Linked DNA regions of Tamandua tetradactyla. The protein of the gene in region 1 interacts with the protein of each later gene in a biochemical or structural test. Links are inferred from orthologs where the notes say so. Each region holds a gene or a part of one and is shown on either strand. Other genes may lie near its edges.

Region 1 (9,791 bases):
TGGCTGAAGGGTACCTTTTGCCTCTCTAGAGGCAATTTTGATTCTAGAAAACTAGAGATTAGAATAAGCCCTAAATTTAAGGCTGCCTTTCAAATAACAAAGAAGAAAACTTTTAAAGATTCTTTTTCAGGTATCAAGCTCAGGTTGAAAGAGAGATACGGATTCACAAGAAAACCTAAATCCACCAGAAACACAGAGCCTTTGCCTGAAGTGCCCCTTCCCATTCTTTGTCTTTCAGGAACCTGAGCACATTGCATGAGAGATTCCAAAATGTTGTCATCGCTCCCCAGGCCTAGCTGTGCTCCTCCCTCGCAGGTACTCACGGCTGCATGTCTCCGGCCCTCGTTGCGGTCAGCACCCAGCCACTCCAAGGCTCGTTTCACCTCAAATTCCACATACTCAGCAGTAAAAGTGTCCCCTGCCATGGCTAGGCGGCCGATGGCTTTGGATGCCATTTCCATGACAACTGGGTCATTGGAGGGGAGAAGGTTCCGCAGGTAGTTAGCAAACCTGCCAATTCGGGTGGCATTCCCTCCTTCCACTCCTATAAGGCTGGCTAGAGAAGAGAAGGCAAACGTGAGGATGGGGCACATGCTATCCAAAAATGAACAGAGCTGTGAAGTGAAAGCTGGTGAGTTTTCTTTTCATTTCACTTTGACTAAACTTCAATTTCCAGATGGTAAAGCAGTAGCTAATTTTCACCTTTATCAATAGTTTCGATATTTGGGCCAAACCTACTTATATGAAACAAAAAGATCTCATTTTAGTATCATATAATTTATTTTCCCAAGAGAAAAAAGAATACAACCAAGGTCATAGAATGGACCAGCAGTCCTTGGAAGTTGAAAATTACCTATCTTTTATAACTATGCCTCTAACTTAACAAAGATGCCAGTCTGACAACTCTGTATTTGTGAGCCTCATTCTGCCATCCTGCTCTACACAGAAACCAGATCCTGTAAAAAGCAATATAGGGGGAATGGAAAGTGTGCTGGTTTGAAAAGAAGTATGCCCCCTAGAAAAGCCATGTTTTAATCAAAATCCCATTTCATAAAGGTAGAATAATCCCTATTCAATACTGTATGTTTGAAACTGTAATCAGATCATCTCCCTGGATGATGTGATTTAGTCAAGAGTGGTTGTTAAACTGGATTAGGTGATGACATGTCTCCACCCATTTGGGTGGGTCTTGATTGGCTTACTGGAGTCCTATAAAAGAGGAAACATTTGGGAGAATGGGAGATTCGGAGAGAGCAGAGAATGCTGCAGCACTACAAAGCAGAGAGTCCACGAGCCAGAGACCTTTGGAGATGAAGAAGGAAAACGCCTCCTGGGGAGCTTCATGAAACCAGAAGCCAGGAGATAAGAAGCTAGCAGATGATGCTGTGTTCACCATGTGTCCTTCCAGATGAGAGAGAAACTCTGACTGTGCTCGCCATGTGCCCTTCTACTTAAGAGAGAAACCCCAAACTTCATTGGCCTTCTTGAACTGAGGTATCTTTCCCTGGATGCCTTTGATTGGACATTTTTATAGACTTGTTTTAATTGGGACATTTTCTCGGCTGTAGAATTGTAAACTAGCAACTTATTAAATTTCCCTTTTTAAAAGCCATTCTGTTTCTGGTATATTGCATTCCGGCAGCTAGCAAACTAGAACAGAAAGGAAGCCAACTTCTAGGCCCATCTCTGGCAAACTGTCTGGACCTAGAAAAGCCACTTAACAGTCCTGAGACTCAGTTTTCATATCTGAAAATACCTTCTTTGCCTATGCCTCAGGACTGTTGTTAGAACTAAGATACGTATAATATAAGAGCACCAGTCCCATGAAGTTCATTAAACAAATATGAACTAGTATCCATTAAGTGGCAGACATTAAGGGGTACAGTGGACACAAAAATAAGTGGGGCTGTATTCCTAGCTGTTATTGTTATCAGAGACGACATGCTTACCTATGGCCAAGATGCCACCTTTCCTCTCATTGGCATCTGAGCTGGAGACCAATTCAAAAATGTGATGGTTCAGCTGATCATAGAAGCGAGTGGACTCCTCTTGACTCATCTGCAAAAGAAGATGTGCTCAGAACAATTTCTAATGTCTTCCTGGTTTGGGTTGGGGGCCTTCCAAAGATTAGGACCTGAGAGGTTTTTAGCAGGTACAGTTTAAACCAAAGAAGACAAAGTTACTGCCCATTTTTACAGCTTTAAACTGCAGCAATGGAACTCATAATTGGATCTGTTCATTTACTAAATCTTTATTAATTATCAACTTTATGGTAGGAAACATCTTGTCCTAGGTTCTACCTAGTGCTTGGCGTACAAGGATGAACAAGACACTGTTGCTGACTTCATGTAGAGTATTTACTTAGATAGCTCCAGGTTATCAACTTCCCCAGCCACTATAATCAGGAAGAAAGAAATGAGGGTCTGGTACGTGGCAGGAAAGACAATAAATTAAAAAAGACAGCCTCTACTCTGACTCCAAAAATGTTACCACAAACACAAGAAATGCCACAGACATGTGAAACCACTGCAAAGGAACCTGTATAGTCTATGGACATTACAAGTTGGTCGTTTTTCCAAAACAGAATCTCTACATTTCCAAATCCTCCTTAGCTGTCAAAAAGCATCTAAAACAGTGATGGTAATTTAGCCCAAACACCCCACAATGACTGGTCCCAAATCACAGAAGCCCCCAACCTCTCGGAGCTCCATGGTAACGTAGTGCTGGAGCTCCTTGGCAGCTTTGGCCCTGGTCTCCTCATTGCGGCTCTTCAGGCCACTGGCAAACTGCTGCAGAACGCTCACATTACTGGAGGTGGTGGTAGCTGTGGTGGCCGCCGCAGGTCCCGTTCCAAGCATTTTGCCCTAAGGTTCTTTGGAGAGAAGCTTTCTTTAGTATTCTGAATATGAACTATGGGAATGAATTTATTGGCCCTAGGCTCCTCAACATAGATCTCCACTCCCCCCGGCCCCAGGTCAGGTAGGGGATTCTAAGAGCTGGGAGACTTCACTGAGGAAAATGTAGAAAGCCTAGAAAACATTCACCCAACAGTGAGTAGCAGCATAACACAGTGGGTCAAAGTGTGTGCCATGGAGCCAGACTACTTGGGTTTAAATCTACTTCCAAGATTATATACCTAGAGGAAGATACTTAAAATTTCTGTAGCTGTTTCCTCATTTACAATATGAGGATAATAGTACCTAATTCAAAGGGTTGATGTAAGGATCAAGCGAATTAATACAGGTTAAAAAAAAAAGCAGTTAAAATGGGGTCAGACACACAGTGATTTCTCAATAAGTGTCAGCTATTTTTATCATTATTACCACTATATACCTGGCACAGCACCAGGTACTAGAAGTGGGGAGGAAAGGAGAGAATAAAACAATGAGTAAGCCAGCCCCCTTCCTCAAGGAGTTTAATCTAAAAAGGGAGATTATTATTCTATAGCAGTGCTGGCCAACAGAAATAAAATACGATCCACAAAAATAATTCTAAATTTCCTAGTAGCCATATTTCAAAAAAAAAGTGAAAAGAAACCAATGAAATTAATTTTAATATTTAATTTAACCCAATACATCCAAAATCTCAGTTCAACATGCTATCATTATAAAAGATTACTGATGCAGGTTCCATTCTATTCTGTACTGTCGCCAAAATCTAGCCTGTATTCTACAATTAGAGCAATCTCTATTTAGACTAACCACATTTTAAGTGCTTGGTAGTCGCCTGTGGCTGGTGGCTATTGTACTAGATAGTTTGGTTCTATAGAACACTAGCTTCTCAGATGTGAACTAAAAGAGACTGATTAATTCTTGAGATCATTCACTCATTCTTCAGTGAGCTTAAGATCCAGTGGTAAATAAAGACAATCAGGCAACCACAATAAAGTGGTCATAGTGGGACTCCTGACAGACTCCTACGGGAATAACACATATTTACCTATCTTAGTTACGTTCAAATTATATTATAAAACCAATTACTCAAAAAATTTTATTTCTGAATGCATTTGTGACACGCAGAGGAAAAAACAGGGAATAACTGCCTTTGAAAGCTTTTAAATACTCCAGTGCCAAGAAGACTGCAAAAGGAAATTAGCACCTTTTACAGAAGAGAAATTCCAAGGATCCCTCATGAGAAAAGTACTACACCGTTTGCGTGTGCGTGAGTGTGTGGCGGTGGTGGGGAGGGGTGGGCGGCTGGCAAACGATTCCCCATTCTCAAGAAAGGACCAGTGTATCTTCATACGGTCTAAGGCCCACAGGCCATCTGCTCCGGGTCGAATTCAGTCGTAAACTACTCGAAGTCAAGTGTCTTGACGTGGGAAAGGCAAAGAGAATGAAACCCCAGCATGGAACCGAGCTCAATCCCGGGGACTGAGTCCCTGAGAAGTCTCTACGGTGGAGAACAAGGGGCTGTCACTGACGGCGTCCTCTCCGAGGCAGGGGGTCCGGGATTTGTAGGTGGCTCAGAAGGCGTGTCTGAGACCACAGGGCAAAGAGCCCCCAAGGGCCTTCTGCCGCACCGGAGCTGATGAGCAGGCCTCGCGGGTGCCTGGGAGTCAGGCGGGCTAGAGGGTGCCGGGGGTCGCGCGGGAGGTGGGCGTGCCTCGCCGGGTGGCGGTCAAGGGCCCAGGTGGCGCCCAGATCCGAGGTGCCGGTACTAAGGAGTCCCCACGTTCCCGACAAGCGGCTTCCCGGGACCCCATACGGACCAGACTGGCCGTGAGTCCGGACATTCCGCCACGTTAAAAGAGTCGGTGCCAGACCCCAGACTCACCGCGCGGCTTCGGTCAAGTCCTCAGCTGCCGCCGCCAGCGCCGGTACCGCCGTTTCAGACCCCCAATCCCACCACCCGCTTTCCCCGCTGTCCTCTAAGCCGGGCGGGAGTGAGGGCGGGAGTGAGGGCGGGCCCCCAGCCCCGATGACCAATCGACAGACGGAAAAAGAAGATAGGCTGGAACACAGTCCAATAGTAATGAAGGAGGTATGACGCCTCAGGAGCCGGCTTCTCCGGGGGGCGGAGATTCTTCAAATAGACAAACCAGGGGGCCAGTGACAGGCAAAAGGAGTCTGAGGTCCGCTCGGGAGAGCCAATCGGTCGTGAGTTGACTTCGTCACTTCCACTCAAACATCCGGTGTATCACTGCTAAAATTCCCTTCTGCACCGGGGATGTGGCTGTGCCGAGTCTGTTCTCTTGGGTACTGCGGGGCGGGTCCAAGCGGCTGTAAACTGAGGTTCGAGGCTGTGCTCTGGATAATTCCGAGCCTGGCGTCTCAGAATTTTCGCCCGCGCTCTGCTTATGGCTCCATGAATTCTCTTCTTTAAATGTAATATGCATTTGAGAACGTTTTAAGTTAGATTTTTCTCGCTTTTCAAAAATTTTTTAGCTCAAAGATCATTCTGAGAACTTATAACCAGTTCTTAATTAAATGAGCTACTCAAATTATTTCAAAGCAACGTTATCGTTTTAAAGAACTTCCCAGAATTCAATGGCAAGGGGTGCGGAGGTGGTTCAGGGGTACAATGCTTGCCTCCCACGCGGGAGACCCCGTTCGGATCCGGCCAGTGCACATCCCGCCATCCAACCCCCCAAAAAATTCAGTAACAAAAATGGCACTTAATTATTATTATTTTTTTGTATGCTGTATTGTGGGGGTCACATTTCATTCTTTTTCCACGTGAGCCTCCCGTTATTGCAGCACCATTTGTTGGATTTTTTTTTTTTTTTTCTTTTTTGGGAAGTGCATGGGCCGGAATCCAATCGGGTCTCCTTCATGGCAGGCGAGAATTCTACCGCTAAACTATCCTTGCACCCTCTTAGCGACATTTTTCTTTTTGGGGGCATGGGCAGGCTCCGGGAATTGAACTCTGGTCTCCGGCTTGGCAAGTGAGAATTCTGCCTGCTGAGCCGCCGTTGCACCGCCCCTTAACTACTTTTTAATCATTAATAATTTCTGAGTAGGTATTAGAGTCACCGTGTATACATGCAATGGGATATTATTCAGCGGTCAAAAGGAATGAAGTTTTGATACGTGCTATGAGATGGATGAACTTTGGTGAAAACACGATGCTAAGTGAAACAGCCGGACATAAATACTGCATGTGTTCACTTTTGTGAAATATCTTATATGAGATATCTATCTAGAAATAAGCAAATTCGTGGAGACAGAAAGTAGATTAGAGGTTACCAGGGGTTGGTTGTGGGAGAAGGGGCGTTATTGCTTAATGGGTGCAGAGTTCTGTTTGGAGTGATAAAGTTTTGGTATGGACGGTGACGATGGTTGGTCAACTTGTAAATAATTAATATCACTGATTTGTACACTTAAAAAAGGCTAAAATAGCAAATTTATATACATATATGTATATATATAACTACAATAAAAATTAAGTGAAAAAGAATGTATTCACTGTAGGAATATCAAAATAAAAATCATTTATCAGTGAAATTCACGCACTCACTCATGTCCCTTTACTATTTATTCTTTTGGTTTCTTATGTACCTTCTAGAGTATCTTTATGCAAATATCAGCAAATACAAATAAATATTTTTATTTTACCCCTTTCTAACTATATCCATTGTTCTGCACTTTTTATCTTGAAAATGTTTCCATGCCAGTATATAGAAAGCTTCCTTGTTTGTCGCTGCATAGTATTCCATTATGTGAATACACTGTAATTTATTTTCCATCTTCTATTGATAGATGTTGTGTTGTTTCCAGTTTTTTGCTCTTACAACTGAAGCTGCAGTGAATGCCCTTGTACATATATCATTTTGTTCCTGGGCGGGCGTACCAAGATAATTTCCCAGAAATGTGATTGCAGGATCAGAGGTACATGCACATGTAGTTTCAATGGAAAGTGCCAAATTGCCCTCACTAAGAGTTGTGCCAATTTTCACTCCCACCAGAAATGGGAGATTTTTGCCACTCTTAAAATGAAGCAAGTCCCTGTTTTTTTAACTAACAAAGATGGTTTTATGACAGCAGTAATCAGTGCATTTGTAGATCTCTTTTTAGTTTACAAGGAGCTCTTTATTTATTAAGCACTTAAAATGTATTAGGCATTTTGGTAGGCATTGTAGGATAAAGTTTGGAAGAGGCTTGGAGTCAGCTTAAATCTGCTACTTAAATCCAACACTTACTGTTTGAACCTGGGCACAAATAATTTCTATGTGCCTACTTCTTTATGTGTAAAACAAGAATGATTATGGTACCTACTTCTGTAGACAGTGTCATAGGGGTTAAATGCTAATACCTGTAAAATGCCTACAACATTATCTGGTACATGTGATCAGTTCATAATTGCTGAACTGTAATTCTTAAACATTACTTAAGAGGCAGGATGGATTGTTCCCATTTTATACATTAGTAGTCTGAGATACAGAGAGATTGAGTCATATAGTTGGTAAGTGATGGAGCCAGGATTTTAATATATTAGCTTATTTCCCTTGTCTGATGCAGCAATGCTTCAGACACTCAGGTTTGGCCACTGATCATTCTTTCATGTGTGTGTGTGTGGGGGGGGGTGCATATATTTGTCCGCAGCCATCTCGTTCGGCTTCTGATCCCCGGCCGGCGAAGGGAACAGGAGGGGAGAAAGAGACAGGCGCAGGCAAACCGACTCGAGTGATAAACACGGGTTCGAGGCACGCAACGGTTGTGAGCACAGACCTTTACTGGAGTTAAGCTTGCATTCTCTGTTACAGGTTCCACGCGGGCCTAAGCACCCCGCGGGGAGACAACCTCTGTGCGGCCGTCAGGTACGGCTCCCTGTGGGTCGTCTCCACCCACCCCGTCCGGGTAACCTCTTATATACTGTGCCCAAACCCAATAGGTTAGTGCCACGTATACAGAGGTGATTGGAAGATAGGGTTGGTGGGCGTGTGCGTCATTTGCGGAAGCAGGATGTGAGCGCCATCTTGGCTCACTCGATGGGCGGGGGGAACTCTAGAGCAGGCTGCAGCGTGTCCACTAGGCCAAACCCGGAAAGCGGCTCTCTACATATATTCATCTACAGGGTCAGCTTCATGGGCTTGAACCTGTGAAGTCACAGTGCTCTGTCTTGAAATTCTTGATGATATTTGAACAAGGGGCTCCACGTTTTGAACATTGGGTCCTGCAAATTATGTGGTCCATCCTGGGTACATATATATTATGTGTATTATAAATTTTATTGCTATAAAGGATGTGTAGTACACAATTTCCAATAATAATAAAATATACAGTGCTCTTTATTGTGAATTCCATAGAGCCAATTGATTCTCACAGAATGCTCTCCTTGATATAGCATAGCCCACTTAAAATGGTTGAAACTGATGAATGAGTGTAGTTCTGACATGAATGTTGGCCGGTATTTCCTTTTATATTAACAAAAGGAAAGTGAAACAATCAGGAAATATGTTGGGCCTTCACTCCTTTGTCAGTGACATGAATGATTTTTTGCTGAATTGGATAATAGCTTTCCAATACTGGAAGAATATTTCCTTAAACTTTTGGTGGTTGTTGGGGATTGAATCATGTTCCCCACAAAAGGCAAGTTCCGGTCCCAGCCCCTGATCCTGTGGGCGGGAACCCATTTGTACACAGGACCACTGAAAGTTGTGGCCAAACTGATGAGGATGGGCCTTCATCCCATATGGCTGAAGTCCTCAGAAGGAAATCAGACACAGAAGAAGAAGCCACCAGGAGCTCCCAGAAGCTGGAAGTCATCAGAACCCCAAAGAGAAAGAAGACACGGCCATGTGTGTTGCCATGTGAGACATAAGCTGAGGAACCCCCAAAGGTTTCTAGCCAGCCAGAAAATACTGACAAGGGAGGAAGTGAGCCTTCCAGTCTCGGAAACAGTGAGCCAATAAATTCCTGTTAAGCCATTGCAGGGAATCTGTTTTAGCAGATGGAAACTTAAACACTGCTATACACAGTGTAATTACTACAGACTTCATACACTCTGGAGTTTAACATGCTTTTTTTTTTTTTTTTTTTAATCTTTTCTGGTGCATGGGTGGGGAGCCAAACCTGGGTCACCTGCATAGCAAGCTAGAATTCTACCACCGAACTACCGGTACACCCCAAACATGCATTATTAATATTTTCTCCATCCCTTTCTTAAGCCTAGATAATCAACAAAACAATTATCGAGCATTTGCTGATTTGCACCGTGTAAGTATTCCCAGTGGCAGATTTCAAGCTACTTACGGATGTCACTGGATGAAGAGTTGAGAACAGATGTGCAGTAGCACATCATTGTATTGTGTTTCCATCATACAGATACAGTAAGTGTAAATAACCCGAAGAACGTATGTGATTCAAAAAAATTAATGAAATAATTAGGAAGTGATGAGTTTTGAGTATTTGTTACCTTTATTGTTAATATAATTTAATTGGAAGTTTGTATAATTTAATTTTTATTAATGGCTGTGTTTAGTGGACCAGCTCACAAAGTTCCTGAAGATTTAACGATTGGCTCTGGCGAGTCAGAGCAGCTACAGACATGGACCATAAGCTTCCAGAAGGCAGGCGATGAAGACAGAGCCGGCCACCTGGTGGGTGGGGAAGAGGGCGGTTATTTGCACGAATAAGTAAATAAACTAGAGATAAAGGGATAAAAAAAAAGCCAGGCCAGGTGGCAGAGGGCATGTGGTAATGGCACAATAAAAAGCGAGAATTATTGTTGTTGTGATTATTACTAGGGCTAATAACTTACTAGGCATCACTTCCCATTCCAGGGCTTCAATTAAAAGGGGGTGGGGTGGGAGGGGGCCGCTAATTATATCGTCCTTATTGCTGTCCGTG
Region 2 (10,452 bases), on another chromosome or scaffold:
AAAAAAATCACACCTTTCAAAATATTTGAGGAAAAAAAAAAGTAATCTCTGAAAACAATTAAAATACGTATGTCTTGACTCCGCAGGGTGTGGACCTTCCTGGCAATTCCTTCTGTAGACAGAAATCCTAGAATGAGCTGGGACTCAGCATCAAGGGATTGAGAAAATCTTCTGGACTGAAAGGGGGAAGAGTGAAATGAGACAAAATAAAGTGTCAGTGGCTGAGAGATTCCAAACCGAATGGAGAGGTTATCCTGGAGGTTATTCTTACACATAATATAGTTATCACCTTTTAAGTTAAGGTGTAATGGAGAGGCTGGAGCGAACTGCCTGAAAATGTAGAGCTGTGTTCCAGTAGCCATGTTTCTTGAAGATGAGTGTATAATGATATAGCTTTCACAATGTGACTGTGTGATTGTGAAAACCTTGTGTCTGATGCTCCTTTTATCTACCTTATCGACAGACGAGTAAAACATATGGATTAAAAATAAATAAATATAGGGGGAACAAATGTTAAAATAAATTTAGTGCATTGAAATGCTAGTGATCAATAGGGGGAGGGGTAAGGGGTATGTTACGTATGCATCTTTTTCTGTTGCCTTTTTCTTTTTCTGAATTGATGCAAATGTTCTAAGAATTGATCATGATGATGAATATGCAACTATGTGATGATATTGTGAATTACTGATTATATATGTACAACAGAATGATCATAAGAATGTTTGTGTTTGTTATATATATTTTTTAAATTTTTTTAATTAAAAAAAAGTCTTTAAAGAGGGATATTATGTGGAATGTTCTACACACTTTAAAAAGATGCTCAGGGGCGGGCCACGGTGGCTTAGCAGGCAAGAATGCTTGCCTGCCATGCCCGAGGACCCGGGTTCGATTCCCAGTGCCTACCCATGTTAAAAATAAATAAATAAATAAAAAAAGACGCTCAGGTCAATATGAGGAAGAGTACCTGTGGCTTCTCCCTCACTGCTGTAATGTCCAAGCTCTTTTGACCTGTCCTTAGCACAATATCTCCTTTGCACGTGACAAAGGCACTGAGACACTGGCTGTTCTGTGGCTTCAGAACTCCCATCTGTTCCACGACCCCAAGACTTGGGAGTAAGCTTCCTGGGCACAGACCTTGTTTGTCTAACCAAATAGGATGCCACTAACATCTGCAGCCAGACCTGCTTACTTCTGATTAACCTTACTTTTACCCAAGTACAGGTCTTAGGTAAGCCTACCATCCAAGCAGCCCCTTTTGGCAAGTCAGAAATCCAACATGGAAGGAGGAATGCAAAGACTGAGTGGGTGAGGCAGGAGATGTCTCCAACCCACTCAGACGCTCTACCAGTTCAAGGGATGTGTATGGTGTCACTGGAGATTTTCGACTCAAAATATTCATGCCCAACACTCTGTTATGCAAATTTCTCTCAAGTCCTACAGACACCTAAGTTCAGGAGTGAAGGATGAATGGCCATAGAGAGCAACCACGGGAATGGAGGTCACTCAAATCCACTGCTGTTTTTTTCCTCTAGGGACCAGCACTGCAGTGACTAGTGGAGACTTATCCCAGCAGCTCATCGTAAAGAATGAGCCCTCCTACAAATCTGCCAGTGTGGGCTCCTATGCAGACACTGCCAAGACGGACTTTCCATTCCCTCCTTTAGAAGCGGATGCCAAACCCAACCTCGGAAGCTTACCTAGATAGAATCATCGCTTTTTAGCCAGACCCCAGAGGTCTGAAAAGGCAAGGGGAGCTACATTCCACTAATTCCTGAGGACTCAGGATGTCACCCATGGACCAGTCACTGGGGGGCACATTAGAAATGCAGACTCACAGGCCCCACCCAGGGGCATACTTAGTCAAAATCTGCATTTAAATGAGGTCCCCAGCTAATTCACAGGCACATTTAAGGTTGAGATACAGTCCTGGAGACCACCATGGACTAAAGCAAAGAGGACCAGGAAATGACTTTTTATCAGTAGGTCACGCTTCTCTGTTCTGGCGAAGGGGTGGGATAAACTGGACTTGGGAGGTAGACTGCACCCCATGGCCAACTGAGGCAGACCAGACAAACCGACTTTGGCAGGCTAGCTGGGCTCAGGATTCGGACTGAGTTGTGTCTACCCTGACTGGGCATCGAAGAGAAGAGCTGGCCTTAGGCTCCTGGCACTGGGTTTTCTTCCAGTTGGCCTCAGAAACATGTTACACTCTGATCCAGAAGCCCCTTTCCTTTCTCCCAAGAATAAACCTTCAACGGGAGGAGGAGTTTTGCTGTGGTCTTCTCGATCCAAAGTGAGGACCGAATCAGAGTTTCTTATAAAGAGTGGACACCGCTTCCAGTCTGCCCAGTACTCCTCCTGCAACAAAGCTTTCAGGAAAGGGGCCAGCCTCAGGGTCTAGCCTGCACAGATTAAACAGAGATTTGCACTTAAGGAACCCCAAAATGGTCAAAAAGGTCCTGGAAGATACATCATAACAAAGAGAAAGCAAACAGCATGGGCTCTACAAGGGCTGGCTGGGAAAGAGAATTTGAGTTGAGTGCTAAGAGGCCCTGAGAACTTCTCTTGGCTAGTTACTAATAGAAGAAAGAGTATTTCTCCCTACTCTGGCTGGCTGCTATTTCTTACCCAATCTGGGCAAACTGTGACTCTGGAGAATGACACATGTTTTCAAGCTTTGGGGCTTGGTGCCATGTTTCGAAGAATAAGGCAGAGGCATGCGCTGGGGTGGGGGGGGGAGGCACGAACATCTACTAACCCTAATGGCTCTGACGTGTGTATTGTGTTTTGGACTAAACATACGAGGTCGCTGGATCTGGCTGTACTCGTCAGCGGTGGAGCAGCTGCCTGAGAAAATGAGCATGTGGCAGGAGGTGAGGCCGCCGCAGGCCCGCGCGGGTCTCCACGACCGCCGCGCGCCACTCAGCTGAACGCGATTTCGGATAGCTTGGTGGGAAAGGCGAGCGGTGGGAGAGGAGAAAAGGCGGGTGGGGACAGAGCGAGGAATGAAGGGAAGTGGTGAGCCATGAGGATTTCATCATGCAAACAGGCGGGCAGGTTTCATCAGCGCGACTGAGCCGGGGCTCCCGGCCTGGGAGGGAATGCTTGGCTCCCCAGGGGGCAGCCTAGACTATGGCCCCCACCCGTGCCGACTCAGCTTCCTCTTCCTCATCCACATTCGGAGAGCTCACACGGCCCCCCCGCCCCGGGAGGAAGAATGTGTTTCTCTGCACGGCCCTGCGCGCGGCGCCGAGCCCCTCCGCGGAGAACCCACCCGTGGGAATGTGGGCTGTCCCACACGTGCCCACAGGCGCTGCCGGGCGCTCAGCAACCCTCCCACCAAAACTCCGATGACGGAGTCCAACGCAAAACTGGGGTACCTCGGGAAGGAAAAGGGATTCTGTTACAAGTATTGTGAGGGGTGTCCTCTCCTTCCCTGGGGTTATTTATTCAATAAGAGTGCCCGTCCCATGCCCTAGAAGCCGCAGGCTGGGCCTCTCCCTGATCCGTGGGACACCCTAACCCGACCCCGTCCCACCCTGGAACTGTCGCGACACCCACAAGGGGAAAAGCACACCTCGGCAGGGGGCAATCAGGGAGCGTGCGTGTGTTTCGGCCGAGAGTGCTCCTCTATCTCTCCCAGAAGGGGGAGTTTGCAGAACTAACTCTGGGCTCCGGAGGACAATCCGGAGGGCAGGCCACGGGGGCCCGCTCACTCCCCATGGCCACCTCCGTGACCCCAAGCTCCCTCCTTAATGCCCCTTATCCGTCCGGCCCATTGCCCGCGTCCCAAGCACCGCGTCCCCTTCCGCGAGGTGCCATCGGTCCGCCCCACGACCAGTTCCCCGGAGCCAGCACGCGGTGCCCCCCAAACAGGCGCCTACCTCCCGGGGTGGTACTGAAGAGTGTGCCGCCGGGGGTGGTGCTGTAGTCCCCGGGCGGCAGCTGCACGCCATCGCTCAGGACCACCCGGCGGGTGGCCGGGATCGCCCGGCTTGGGGTCTGACTGCAGCCGTTGCCCTCCGACATGGTCTCCAGTGTACTAAATCCCGGTGCAGCAGACCAAGCGCGGCCGCCCCGCCCAGGACCGCCCCTTCCGCTCGCACCCCCCTGGGATTTGTAGTCACCGCTGTGCCGTAGCCCCACCCAGCCCTGCGCTGCTGCCTGCACGTGGGTCCCCCGGCGGCGCTGGGACCCCGGGGTCGGGACCGTCTGTGCTCCAACCGCGGGGATCCCGGCGCGGTCACCCATTGCCTGTCCCTTCTAAGCTGGCAGGGGCGAGGTTCGGGGCGGGAGACCTCTCTTGTTTAAAGCCTGTCTGGGTTGGGGGCGCTGGGCCAGGGTCCTATGAGGCCCGGCCCACTCTGGGGACTCCTGATTTCTACTTTAAGACATCACGCCAGGTATTCTTCCCAACCCTTGCTTCCTTCTTTCCCGGAGGAGATTGATTGTCATTCACTCCTCATTTGTTTATTGGGCATTCACCATATGACTGACATTCAAGAAATAAATACGTGCAAATAAAGCAGGTAACCCGCCTTTGGGGAGGGTGTGGGAGAAGGGCACGTGACCCAAATTGCTGGATGATAAGGGTTCAGCTAGAGCTCAAGCGGCTCCTCCAGGAACCATCTCAGCTTTGCGGGAAGGGGGAAGGATTGGTCTAAGAAGGTGCCCATAGTGAACCAACGTAGTTTCCATTTTGGGTCCAACCTCCAGCAAGCTGCCTGATCCAGCAGACCCTCTTTAAATGAATGAATGAAGGATGGAACTAGGGAATGAATCTTCAAGGAGATGCAGAAGTTCCCCAGCCAGAGAGGGAAAAATGCAAGGAGGCTGGAAAACTTTGTTGGGTTAAAAAAATATCATTTTAGGGCGGGCCACGGTGGCGCAGCAGGCAGAATTCTTTCCTGCCAAGTCGGAGACGCGGGTTGGATTCCAGTGCCTGCTCATGCCAAAAAAAAAAAAAAAAGTCATTATAGCCTCATTTTAGAGAAAGAAATTGGGGCAGAATTGTGAAGGGCCTTCTAAATCGTTCTGAGGTGTTCTTAGGACATTATCCTTTTAAATTGAGCTGAGTTTGATAACATTTTGAATATTTTAGGTTAAGTAAAATGTATTAAAATAAATTTCGCCTTTCTTTTTACTTTTTATTTTACTTTTTAAAATGTGACCATAAGAAAAAATTTAATGATATATGTGACTCATTATATTTCTATTGGGTACCGTTATTCTGCAGTGAAGCAGTGTTAAAGCCATCCTAAAGTTATTTCCAGAACTTTACTGCCTGCTGTTAGATAGTCACATTTGGTGTCCCTGACAAGGGAATTGTTAAGAAACAAAGGTGTTGGATTTTTTGCCCAAAGTGTTTAAAGAACCAATTCTCAAGACACTAGGGTTTCAAAGAGATAAAGAGTTTATTGACAGGCCTGAAGCAAGAGATCAGATGGCATATCAGCCCCCAAATCTTTTTTCCTGAACTGCAGTAAATCTGTGGTTTTAGAGTATCAAAAGATGGGCAGGTGGTTGGATAATGAGTGCAGTGGTTCTCGATGATGTAAGTAGAGGTGTTTTTATTATTGAGCATGTGCAGATTGATTACATGCTTAGTCCTAGAACATATGTAAGAAAATGGTGGCCTTAAAAAAAGAAAAAAAGAAAAAAGAAATGGTGGCCTTAATATGATGATGGGCATGATTTTTAGTATTATAATGAGGTCTAGGTCACTTATAGGTTAAAGTCTAAGCTTCGCATGCCAAGCAGGCCCGTTTCGGTTAGATCCAGTAATAACTTTGGAATTGGGCTGGGTTTGCTTTAGACTGATCCAGTGCCTTTCGTTAATAAATGTTAGGCATGCACTTCGTCCCCCCACCCCCAAAAATGAACACATGGTGCTGCAATAATGGCACAGTCACATGGAAAAAGAAGGAAATGTGACCCCCCACCATACAGCATACAAAAAATATATAAAAAATAAAAATAAAAGTACATTAGGCGCTGTCGTTAGTGATCCAAGACACCAAAGTTGAAAAACCAGATAAAATGGGTAGAAATGAGGGTCAGTCATGAGGCTTTTGTGATCACAAAGGCATAAGATAAAGGCTATACAATCACTATCAGAGGTCAAGGACATTGGATTACAGTTCAAGGATTTCAGGTCTTTCCCTCTGTTTGCTCCAATATACCAGAAAGCAAAAAGAAATACGGTTTAATGATTCCGCAACATAATCATCCCTTACATCCTAACTTCTCAGTTACAGAATCATCAGATTTTACCTGTGGCAGGTTCATTATAGATCATCCCGGACAATATTCACCCTCATCTTATTTTTTAAAAGACAGCAGAAAACTGAGGCCCAGAGAGGGGCAGAGTTTTGCCCAAGATCACACAGCCATTAAATGCCCAGTCTTCTACCTGCGAGCGCTGGGCAGTGCTTTCTCATTGTGCTAAGAAGTCCATCCTCCCTTGGGGAGGAGATGTTCTGAAAGTGGTTTTGCTGTTGGTTTTTTGGATGTGCAAGTTTGGTCAGATCTGAGGCCTGGAGCTCATGGGGCTAAGAGTCTAGAGAAGGAGGCTGCTTAGAAAGCTCAATACTTGCAAGGACCTCAGCATGCAATGGGGTGGAGAAGGGGAAGAGGGAAATTACAGAGGGGTCAGAGGGCTGCTGACTGACTAGACCTGGGGTCATCACCTCCACATCTAAGGCCAGACAAGCCCCTCACACAAAGGTAGCAGCTCCCAAGAATCAAGACACAGCAGTTTCCGTAGGCTAGAACGTGTGATTATAGTAGAAGCACTAGTCTGGGAATCAGGAGCTGTGGGTTTGCACCCTAGTTCTGCCACTAAAGAGCTGTTCAGCTTGGTCTAGTCACTTTCCTTCTCTGAGCCATGATCTCCTTATCTGTCAAATAAGGGGATGGATTTGAAGATCTCTGAGGACCCTCTGCATTGATATTCTAGGTCTCAGACAGACTCCTTCCTCAGTTCTGTTTCTGGTCCAGTCATTTTGCCTGCAATAATTTCTCCTTCTTATTTATCAGGGACTCGTTCATATCAAATCTTCTGATTTGGTATCAGCTTCTTTAGGACAGGGAACATGTCTTTACTGCCTCTCTTTAGCAGTTACCTCTGAGAGGTCATAATAATAGTTTTGGGTGCTGCTGTAACCAAGAAATAAGGGTTTTAAGAGATGATTTTGATTATTGAATCATTATATAGATAATCCTTTTTGCTTTCTGGTATATTGGAATAGAGGGAAATACTGAAATCTCTAAACTGTAATCCAGCTGCCTTGATCTCTGATAATGATTATATAGTCCTTATCTTCTGCCCCTGTGATTGTGAAAACCTGGGACTAACCTTCATTTGTACCAAGTTATACCGTTTTTCAACTTTAGAGGCTTGTAATCACTAAAGACAACCCCTAATGTTTATTAATGAAGGGTCCTGGATCAGCCCAGAACTTAACCCACCCAAAACCCAAAGTTATCTTGATGTGGGAGACTGGATCTAACCAAAGTGGACCCTCTTGCATGCACAGTAGCTTAGACTTTAACTTGCGAGTCACGTATACCTCATTCCACCATTTTCTTACATACGTTCTCTAAGCATATAATCGATCTGCGCATGCTCAATAATTAGATCACCTCTAATTATATCATCTGGGGCCACTGTGCTCATTGTCCTAAAGTCTGCCCATCTTTTTCTCTATAAAACTATCAGAATTACTACTTTGGGGAGACAAATTTTGAGCTGCTAGACCATCTGCTCTCCTGCTATGTGCCTAGTAATAAATGAAACGTCATGTCTCAGGAATTGGTTATTGAGCACATCTGCAAAAGTGATCCATAGCCTTTCTCTAGTAACACTGCTGCTGAAGTCAAACATGTTTGTTTCTGTCTCTTCAAGGCTCTTATTTTCAATTATTAATATAAATTATTATTTTATTTTCTATTGATATATATCATATAGTCATATATCCTGTAATCATCCAAAGTGTACAATCAGTGGTTCACAATATCATCATATAGCTGTGCATTTATCATTGCAATTGACTTTTTTTCTTTTCTGTGAAAAATGATATATATACAAAAAAGCAATAAATTTGAAAGCACACCACAATAATTAGTTGTACAATAGATTTCAGAATTTGGTATGGGTTTCAATTCTACAATTTTAGGTTTTTACTTATTGCTGCTCTAAGATACCGAAGACTAAAAGAAGTATCAATATAATGATTCAGCAATCATACCCATTTGTTAAACCCAACCTACTCTGTATAACTCCACCATTACCTTTGATCATTCTCCCATTCTTAAGGAGTATTAGGACTATGTCCATTCTAATTTTTTCCTATTGGGAGGGGCTGTTGATAATAGGGGATAGGGGATGGAACTAGTTGATATTCTGGAGAGGCTGGGCCCTCTGCATTTCAGGACTTATCTGGTCCAGGTACTCATCCGGAGGTTGTTGGTTTCTGGAAAGTTACCCTAGTGCATGGATCCTTTGCAGAATTTTATAGAATGTCCTAGGTGTTCTTTAGGATTGGCAGGATTGGTTTTGATTGGGGTTTGGCAAGACATGATAGGTAGCAATGTCTAACTGAAACTTATGTAAGAGTGACCTCCAGAGTAGCCTCTTGACTCTATTTGAATTCTCTTAGCCACCGATAGTTTATTTGTTACCCTTCTTTCCCCCCTTTTTGTCAGGATGGCATTGTTGATCCCACGGTGCCAGGGCCAGACTTATTCCCGGTAGTCATCTCCCACACCACCAGGGAGACTTTCACCTCTGGATGTCATGTCCCACATAGTGGGGAGGGCAATGATTTCACTTGCAGAGTTGGGCTTAGAGAGTGAGGTCACATCTGAGCAACAAAAGAGGTCCTCCAGAAGTAACTCTTAGGCATACCTATAGGTAGGCTAAGCTTTTCAACTACATACATAAGCTTCACAAGAGCAAGCCTGAAGATCAATGATCAAATGATCTTGGTGATGAATATACAACTATGTGATGATATTGTGAGCCATTGATTATAACCATGTCAAGAATGTTTGTATGTTTGTTATTTACAATAAAAATATTAAAAAAAAAAAAAAAAGAACGAAGGACTTTAATCCTGTATAACTTAATGTAATGCCTGGACACATCCCAGAGTATGTTAAGTAGATAATCAAAAAGTATTGGCAAATTTCCTAGAGATTGGAGAAAAAATAAGGAACTATTAAGCTTTACCACCTGGGAAACCCTTGATATTATGTCAAGCATTAGAGACACCCAAATCAATAGGCCAGGCCCTTGATCTTTAAGAAAGATGGCAATTGGAACACAGTTCTACTGTTTCAGGTACTTCCCTCTAGCCACTCTAATACACCATAAACCAAAAAGGGGATATCTATCTATATAATGCTTAAAAAGAACCTCCTGGATAACCTCTTGACTCTGAAATCTCTCAGCCACTGACACACTTTATTTTGTCTCATTTTCCTCTTCCCTCTTTTGGTCAAGGTTTTCTCAATCCCTTGATACCAAGTCCCAGCTCATCCTAGGATTTCTGTCCCACATTTCCAGGGAGGTTTACACCCTTAGCAGTCATGTCCCACATAAAGCAGGGGAGGGCAGTGAGTTTGCTTGCCATGTCAGAGAGAGAGAGGCCACATCTGAGCAACAAAGATGTTCTCTGGGGGTGACTCTTAGGCCTCATTTTAAGTAGGCTTAGCCTATCCTTTGCAGGGATAGGTTTCATAGGGGCAAACCCCAAGATTGAGGGTTCAGCCTATTGATTTGGTTGTCCCTGCTGCTTGCGAGAATATCAGGAATTCTCCAAAAAGGGAAGTTGAATTTTTCCCCCTTTCTCCCCATTCCCCCAAGGGGACTTTGCAAATACTTCTTTATTCACTGTTCAAATCACTCTGGAGTTTATCAAGGCATCAGACTAACCTGGACAAAACAACAAAATCTTATGCACTATTCAAGGTTCCGTGTACCTATGGTGTTCAATTAAATTGTCCATATAAGTTAAATTTGGAAATGCACTAGTCAAAATATAAATTATGCACCAAATAAACATTTCTTGCTTTAGTCTCACTCAGAAGTTGAAGTTTTAAAATATGAATGGCCATCTATTTTCAACGCCCTGCAATATTGACATTCCTTTGTTCTTCCTCATGCAAAAACATCTTTTAATTTTGTACATTTAGTCACTATCATTGTACACTCTAGGCTTTCCTAAATTATACCATCTCAGTCTTTATTGTCTGTCTTTCCTTCTGGTTTCATATGTAAGGCCCTCATTCTCATTCTGGGCTCCCTGTGTTTGGATTGTTTAAATGATGTATCCAGACAGGTTGAGTTAGATTATGTGCTACAGAAAATTTAGGCTCTGGACAAAGTAAACCTTTCTTCATTTGGTTTCAAAGAGTAGATGAGGTTCTAAAACACAAACAGTGTCTCCC

The links. The genes of interacting proteins can lie anywhere in the genome.
Region 2: of the proteins of MTOR (region 1) and EIF4EBP1, one has a biochemical effect on the other in vitro, tested with the Homo sapiens proteins (29 studies listed by BioGRID and IntAct, with this or other methods). The link is inferred for Tamandua tetradactyla from reciprocal best matches to the Homo sapiens genes MTOR and EIF4EBP1.

Annotation. Positions count from the first base shown.
Region 1 is NC_135328.1:214,143,746-214,153,536, reverse strand, and holds the start of MTOR (serine/threonine-protein kinase mTOR), read right to left. Parts: upstream 4,897-9,791; 5' UTR 4,777-4,896; intron 2,873-4,776; 5' UTR 2,859-2,872; coding exon 2,697-2,858; intron 2,059-2,696; coding exon 1,950-2,058; intron 557-1,949; coding exon 324-556; intron 1-323. UniProt on the Homo sapiens protein: Serine/threonine protein kinase which is a central regulator of cellular metabolism, growth and survival in response to hormones, growth factors, nutrients, energy and stress signals.
Region 2 is NC_135352.1:5,295,670-5,306,121, forward strand, and holds the start of EIF4EBP1 (eukaryotic translation initiation factor 4E-binding protein 1), read right to left. Parts: upstream 4,073-10,452; 5' UTR 4,030-4,072; coding exon 3,885-4,029; intron 2,874-3,884; exon of another isoform or gene 2,801-2,873; intron 1-2,800. UniProt on the Homo sapiens protein: Repressor of translation initiation that regulates EIF4E activity by preventing its assembly into the eIF4F complex: hypophosphorylated form competes with EIF4G1/EIF4G3 and strongly binds to EIF4E, leading to repress translation.